Linked DNA regions of Macaca mulatta. The protein of the gene in region 2 binds, or shares a complex with, the protein of the main gene of each other region. Links are inferred from orthologs where the notes say so. Each region holds a gene or a part of one and is shown on either strand. Other genes may lie near its edges.

Region 1 (4,123 bases), on a different chromosome or scaffold from region 2:
TGGAGACCAGCCTGGCCAAAGTGGTGAAAGTCAGTCTCTACTAAAAATACAAAAAATAGTCGGGCGTGTGGAGGCGGATGTCTGTAATCCCAGCTACTCAGGAGGCTGAGGCAGGATAATTGCTTGAACCCGGGAGGCAGAGGTTGCAGTGAGCCGAGATCGCGCCACTGCACTCCAGCCTGGGCAACAGAGCAAAACTCCGTCTCAAAACAAACACAAAAAGATTTCTTCTTTTGAGATGGAGTTTCGCTCTTTTCTCCCAGGCTGTAGTGCAATGGCATGATCTCGGCTCACTACAACCTTCGCCTTCCGGGTTCAAGCGATTCTCCTGCCTCAGCCTCCCGAGTAGCTGGGAGTACAGGCGCCCGCCACCACGCCCGGCTAATTTTTGTATTTTTAGTAGAGACGGGGTTTCACCACGTTGCCCAGGCTGGTCTCGAACTCCCGACCTCAGGTGATCGACCCGCCTCGACCTCCCAAAGTGCTGGGATTAAAGGCGTGAGCCGCCGCGCCCGGCCACATTTTTTTCGATCTGTTGTCTAGGCTGGCGTGCAGTGGCACAATCCCGGCTCACTGCTGCCCCGGCCTCCTGGGCTAAACGGAGCCTCCCGATTCGCCTAAGAAAATGGTGGGATTACAGGTATGAGCCACGGCGCCCGTCTGTGATCTACATTTGATTTAGGCAACTTTCTGTGTTTCTCAAGTTTAACTATAACGTGGTTAAAATTCAAAAGTCAGCCCCTGCTCTCACACAGGCGCTTCCTCCCTCCTGGGATGGAGCCTGTCCTCCCCTCTCCCGGGGCACAGCCCTTTACTCCGTCTTGGCCCCGCCTACTTCTCCATTGGCCCTGCCCCCTATCCCGAACGCTTAGTGACGCAAAGGCTGGAGACGACTCTACGCGAGCGAAAAGACGCGGGTTGAGGAAGAGTTACGGACTGCCCATGCGCTTGGGCGCACAGCGGCCCGCTTCGGTGTGGTCTGGAGGTGGAGCTGAGAGGGGAATCACACTCTATAAAGGTGCGCACACCCCACTGGCGGATTAAATTGCGGCAGTGACGTCACAGAGGGACCGCCCCGCCCCCACAAGACCCCACCGACGTGGGGTTGGCCGTGGTGGAAGGACCCGGAGTGGGCGCGTGCGTACTGGCAGCCTCTCCCGCCCCGACCGGCCTGGGCCCCGCCCCCGGGCGTGCGGCGCCCAATGCGCGTGCGCGGCGGCGTCGGCGCCAGTTATTTCTGTCCCGCCCCCCGGCCTCGGCTCTTTCTGCGAGCGGGCGCGCGGGCGAGCGGTTGTGCTTGTGCTTGTGGCGCGTGGTGAGGGTTTCGGCGGCGGCTGAGGAAGAAGCGCGGGCGGCGCCTTCGGGAGGCGAGCAGGCAGCAGTTGGCGGTGCCGCAGCAGCGTCCCGCGCGCGGCGGGCAGCGGCCCAGGAGGCGCGTGGCGGTGCTCGGCCTCGCGGCGGCGGCGGCGGCGGCCCAGCAGTTGGCGGCGAGCGCGTCTGCGCCTGCGCGGCGGGCCCCGCGCCCCTCCTCCCCCCTGGGCGCCCCCGGCGGCGTGTGAATGGCGGCCTCGGCGGCGGCAGCCTCGGCAGCAGCGGCCTCGGCCGCCTCTGGCAGCCCGGGCCCGGGCGAGAGCTCCGCTGGCGGCGAAAAGCGCTCCACCGCTTCTTCGACCGCGGCCTCGGCCTCGGCCTCGGCCTCGGTGTCGTCGCCCGCGGGGGGCGGCGCCGAGGCGCTGGAGCTGCTGGAGCACTGCGGCGTGTGCAGAGAGCGCCTGCGACCCGAGAGGGAGCCCCGCCTGCTGCCCTGTTTGCACTCGGCCTGTAGTGCCTGCCTAGGGCCCGCGGCGCCCGCCGCCGCCAACAGCTCCGGGGACGGCGGGGCTGCGGGCGACGGCGCCGGTAAGTACGAAGTGATCGGGGCCACCCCTCCCCCTACTCTCTGCCTTTGATTCCCACTGGGTGCAGAGATGAGGATGCCACCTGGGCAAGAGGATGGGGGCCCGGACAGTGCACGGGGAGTACTTTCTGGGTCCTGCATAGGAACGTGGGTTTGAGCTGGCCGCTGAGATGAGACATCTGACTAAAGTTGGAGAAAGGGCTCAGGGAGGGGAGGGGAGGGGCTGCCTCGCTGCGGGGTAATGGTCGGGGGCCCACCCAGCACGGGGATGCGGGGGGCCATAACTTGGGTGGGAACTTGTAACAGTCTCCCACATCCCTGCCTCTTGAAGTGGTGGACTGTCCCGTGTGCAAGCAACAGTGCTTCTCCAAAGACATCGTGGAGAATTATTTCATGCGTGATAGTGGCAGCAAGGCTGCCACCGACGCCCAGGATGCTAACCAGGTGCGTCCAACCGCAGCAACCACAGGGAGGTTTCTGGGGAGGGGGCATCTGCCCAGGAGGAGCTTGACACCAGCTCCCAGGCTGTTACTCGACTTTCCCAAGGCTCTGGGTGGGCTGTCTAGGCTGGGTCAAGGGACCAATCTTAATCTTGGGTTGTATTTTCTGAGGTGTAGATGTGGATCTAGCAAGTTGTCTTGCTTTCTCTGACCCTGCCTTTGTCTGGCAGTGCTGCACTAGCTGTGAGGATAATGCCCCAGCTACCAGCTACTGTGTGGAGTGCTCGGAGCCTCTGTGTGAGACCTGTGTAGAGGCGCACCAGCGGGTGAAGTACACCAAGGATCACACTGTGCGCTCTACTGGTACGTGAGGCTGAGGGGGCTGTTGCTTTCCCGTGTGTGCCCTCAGTTGCTTTTATAATGTTGGTTGCATTTGGTGGATGGGTCCTAGAGTTGTCCAGGGGGTGCCGCCCGAAGGGCTGGAGAGCAGAACTCCAAAAGCAGGAAAATTGTGGTTGTGGTGTGTAGTCTCTAGGGCTTAGGTGGGAGGGGGTGGGAAGGGGAGACGTGGAGACCTTAATGTGCTGCAGGGAGGTACAGAGGGTTTGAGGAAGCTTATCAGGGAGTTCTCAGTCCTGGTGTTGAAGGGCTCAGAATATGCAAACAGGGAAAGGCATGGTGTGAAGGGCTTACTGGGTTTGTGGTTCCCTGGCACACATCTGGTATAAGATGCTGTTAGGGAAAATGAGACTTTGTGGGTCCATGGGTTATAAGTGATGGTGATTTCTGGAAACGTTTTAGCTTTTGAGTTGGCAGAGACTTACCCGGAGTTTGGTTTGGCATTTCCAGCTTTTCGCAGACACTCGCTAGCTTTGATTTGGAAAGGAGCTTGAGAGTCTTTTGAGTGTAGCCCAGTTTTTGGGCCAAAATCCTCCCATGAGTGGCCTTTTGGTAGCCATACCGTGATTCTTCCCATCCCAGAGGCCAGCATTGGTGGAAGATAGTGGGAAAGTGGCGGCTGTGGGGCCTGAGGAGCCAGGAGGGATAGGCAGGGGCTGCAGGGTGTCCTACATTCCAGACGTCCCAAGCAAAGGTCAGGGTGCAGGAATGGTGGCACTGGGGAAGTCAGTTTCCCCAGTGAGCCCTGATGCTACGTATTTTGGATTTGGTTGGTATGTTGGACCACTATGCTTAATCGGTTTTCTAATGGGGAAGCAGGCTTTGAAGGTTATTAATGTGTTGGTCTTGGGGTGGAATTATGCTGAGCACCAAGCTCCTGGTCTAGAGGGGGTGTGACCACCATTCTGAGGGTCCTAGTTTGACATTTTATCTCTCCCAGTATGAGAACCTCTACAGGTTTTCTCTGGGCTCTTGGGTTGTAAGAGACCCTGGTGTTTTCTTGTCACGAAAGAGGGAGGAAGTTAACCATGAAAGGAGAAGAAAAGGAGTCCAGGGTGGTTTGTAGGCAGAATTCTGAATATGTCCACTTGGAGAATAAAGGGAACAGTGTGTGTGGGGGGGTAGTCCTCTTTTTCCGGAGGCTGTCCTTACCTTTACCTTTGTGTCACCTCTAGAAGCTAGAAGAAAGGGTTGTGTTTCTCAGCTATGTTGGGGCAGAGGTTTCTGGGAGCAAGGAATTGGGCTTGCAGGCCTGTGTTCTTCGCTGGCCACACCCTCTACATCTTCCCAATAAATGGCCCAGTGTCACAGAATGGGCAGGAAATGAGGCCCCAACTTAGTCTGCTTCCTGAGTTGGGGGTGGTGAAGGGCAAGGTCCAGCCTTATG
Region 2 (3,629 bases):
CAGTGGCGCGATCTTGGCTCAATGCAAGCTCCACCTCCTGGGTTCACGTCATTCCTGCCTCAGCCTCCCGAGTAGCTGGGACTACAGGTGCCTACCACCACGCCTGTCTAATCTTTTTTTTTGTATTTTTAGTAGAGACAGGGTTTCACCGTGTTAGCCAGGATGGCCTCGATCTCCTGACCTCATGATCCACCCACCTCGGCCTCCCAAAGTGTGTGAGCCACTGCACCCGACTATCTTCACCTCTTTACAGTGCTGTGACCAATGTCAAAATTACCATTCATCTAAAATAATTTACAACTCAGTTTACTTCCTAAAGGGTAACAGGACAGCCCAGCAATAATTTGTGTATTATGAAGTTTGTCTGGGTCTTAAACTGGTCTAATAAGCAAGTCTTTTCAATTACTCATCTTTTTCAAAGGCGCAGACAATTGTTAATACTTCATGAACTGCAGAACTATTTGGAATCCGGGTGGATGGTTTTAATTACTAGAAAATGGAAGGGTTACTCAGTGCAGTCGATGTTCAACACTGCTGGCATAAAATACATATGTAGCCATGCTTTGCTGAAAAAATAAAAACTAAGGCAGGATATCCAACACTATATTCTATTGGTCTACACAAATTAAAGTGGCACTGAATTAAAAATACATTTCAACTAAAAACACTTACTTAGTCTGGCCTACTCTATGGCATCTATCTTCTGCTTGTTTGTCATTATAAGGATTACAGTCAATGTCGTGAAGTATAACAACATTTGCTGAAGTCAGATTTATTCCTAATCCACCAGCTTTTGTTGATAGCAGAAACACAAAGATATCCATATCGGTATTAAACTCATCAATTAGATGAATCCTGTAAGATAAACAAATTAGGTTAAATCTCACTAAAAAGTTGTATCATGTAATTAAAATGGAAAACAATCATTATCACATGAAAAGGAAACCCGAAGATGTATATACATCCCTTGGTATTGCAGTTACTTCTCCTCTGGCTATATCATGGAAGAGCCTCCTCAATTCACCAACTTCTTTTCTACGATATTGCTACCCCTACCAACTCTTACTTCAATTCAACTATTCAGATTCAATTAATTCCTAAATGACGATTTTGTTCTTTTTTAACTTGTGGCTTAGCTAAATTTTGTGTATGGCTTTTCAATCTTTAGCCTTCTCAGAAGTATATCAGCTCCTACTGGCAGACAGCATTCCTGATGAATCAAGGACCTCACGATCAGTGTATCATTGTATCAGTGGATTCTCCTCTTTTAAAAAAAAAACAAAACACAACATTATTTTTACCTTTACTCTAATGCTGGGGGGAAAAAAACCACTCTGGACAACAGAAAAAAAATAAACCAAAATATATAATTCAATTTAAACATACTACACAATTCCTTCCTTATTAAGACAATCCCTTCTTTACTAAGGTCAATCTTTACAACCTTTGGGAATGAAAAAAACTTTACCCATAGAATATGAAAGACTTTAAAACAATCTTGATGAAAGATAAGGTGTTTTAGACTTTGAAAAAATTTTAAAGGTGAAAATCATAAAAAATACAATTCTAACAGCTGTTTCAAAAGGTATTTGTATGCAATTCAGACAGAAAAATTAAAAGAAAATTATTTATTTATTTTTTGAGACAGGGTCCCACTCTGTCACCCAGGCTGCAGTGCAGTGGTGTGATCTTGGCTCACTGTAACCTCTGCCCACCAGGGCTCAAACAATCCTCCCATCCCAGCCTCCCCAGTTGGGACCATAGGCGTGCACCACCACACCTAGCTATTTTTGTTGCTGTTGTTGTTATTGGTATTTTTAGTAGAGACAGGGTTTTGTCATGTTGTTCAGGGTAGTCTTGAACTCCTGAGCCCAAGCAATCCACCGTCATCGGCCTCCCAAAGTGTTGGGATTACAGGTGTGAGCCACCAGGCCTGATCATTGAAATTACTCTTATTTTAAGGCAATGATTTGAAGTAATCAAACATAAAAACAACAAAATTCTATCAAGTACTCTAGACATTTAAAATTCTAACAACAACAACAAATGAGTGGTTTTTTTTTTGGAACATGAAGTATACCAACCTTTCAGAAATCTGAGTCTTTCCATCTAATCTGAGGTACCTATGCTGATGATGTTTTAACAGAACCTCTAAGATATCCAGCATCATGGTAAATTGGCTAAACAATACAACTCTATCACCCTGTGAAAATAGATATACGAGTTAGAAATAGAAAAAATTGTTTTACTTAAGCCTTGACAGGTCTAAACAGTTAGAAGTGTTACTTATATCATGTTGATAAATTTGCAGAAAATTCTCTATGATCAACTGCTTCTTTAATAGAAATCAATAATACCGAAGATATACATTTTATTGTAGCCTACATATGAATATACTGCCTTAGCCTCTAAACTTCAAGGCTAAAAGTTAGCTCTCAGTTTTGATTTTAAGAACAGTTAAATTACTTCCTTTTCGTAAGAAAAATGTCAGAAAATATGAACAATTGCATATGTGTGTCCTATCTGGACTGTGATTTTACAAATTTAGGCTATTTCACACATAAACGGCAGTATTACTTAAATAACTATTTAATGAATGGTGTTTTTAAAAACTAATTTCTTAGCACACATACAGATTGTCACCTATGAAATAATGACAATTAAGATTTTTTCAAAACATCAATACAGATACAGTCTACTAACTTTCTATTGTTTTTGAGGTTCAACAGAGGAAAGGAGGTAATCAAGAAAATATGTCAAGAAAATGTTCAAAACACTAAGTTCTGGAAGAATGCAGAACAGACATAAGCTAATTAAAGCAAGTCAGTGTGCCAGAATTGCTTTAAGAAGTTTAAGTAATTGAGAAAATACAAGAAACACCATTCTTCTTTAATACCTTCTGTTTCAATTCAGACAAGATGCATCCTAAAACTCGAAATTTTCCAGAATCTAAAATCAAGTCCATGTCTAATTGAAAGTTATTAATGTGTCGATACTGTTTACAAAGTACATGTAGTTCAAAGTCTGTCATAACTTCCATATCTTCAAAGATCAGGTCAGGGTTAGCCTCACAATGTGTAGGTTCCTTAAAACAAAACAGAACACAGTATACTTCAAAATAAAAATAATTTATAGTATGATCAGAAAAATTTAATAAAATTAACACCTGATAAAATACCTAAATCATAGAACCTTTTAGTGTAAGGAAAATTAATGTTAATCTTTTAGGTATAATAAAGGGGGGGAAGTCCTTACTGTTTTAGAGATAACATACTAAAATATTTACAGATTAAATAACGCCTAGAATTTGGTTCAAAATAATCCTGGGGAGAAGTCTGGGGTATAGATGAAAGAAGAGTGGTGTCATTATCAAATGGTAACTTTCAAAGGGGTGAAGTAACATATGAGCAGACAGTTTCATTATGAAATTCTACTTTTATAAATGTTTGAAATTCTCCGTAAGTTTAAAATAATATAAAAAAATTTAAAAAAGAAAATGGGTTGGCCAGGTGCAGTAGCTCACGCCTATAATCCCAGCACTTTGGGAGGCCAAGGTGGGTAAATCACCTAAGGTCAGGAGTTTGAGACCAGCCTGGCCAACATGGTAAAACGCTGTCTCTACTAAAACT

The links. The genes of interacting proteins can lie anywhere in the genome.
Region 1: the proteins of SMARCAD1 (region 2) and TRIM28 are in contact, whole or in part, in a crystal structure (PDB 6H3A), measured with the Homo sapiens proteins. The link is inferred for Macaca mulatta from reciprocal best matches to the Homo sapiens genes SMARCAD1 and TRIM28. Residues at the interface, in NP_001362784.1 of Homo sapiens: Asp156, Leu157, Ala160, Lys161, Gln163, Thr164, Glu167, Leu168, Phe169, Asp188, Gly189, Ala190, Ala192, Leu196, Ala201, Gly202, Gly203; in NP_005753.1 of Homo sapiens: Arg330, Trp333, Thr334, Lys337, Ile338, His341, Leu376, Lys377, Ile379, Val380, Asp381, Val383.

The regions. Positions count from the first base shown.
Region 1 is NC_133424.1:70,682,109-70,686,231, forward strand, and holds the start of TRIM28 (transcription intermediary factor 1-beta), read left to right. Parts: upstream 1-1,261; 5' UTR 1,262-1,559; coding exon 1,560-1,899; intron 1,900-2,228; coding exon 2,229-2,341; intron 2,342-2,567; coding exon 2,568-2,700; intron 2,701-4,123. UniProt on the Homo sapiens protein: Nuclear corepressor for KRAB domain-containing zinc finger proteins (KRAB-ZFPs).
Region 2 is NC_133410.1:103,630,664-103,634,292, reverse strand, and holds part of SMARCAD1 (SWI/SNF-related matrix-associated actin-dependent regulator of chromatin subfamily A containing DEAD/H box 1), read right to left. Parts: intron 3,086-3,629; coding exon 2,897-3,085; intron 2,204-2,896; coding exon 2,085-2,203; intron 856-2,084; coding exon 673-855; intron 1-672. UniProt on the Homo sapiens protein: DNA helicase that possesses intrinsic ATP-dependent nucleosome-remodeling activity and is both required for DNA repair and heterochromatin organization.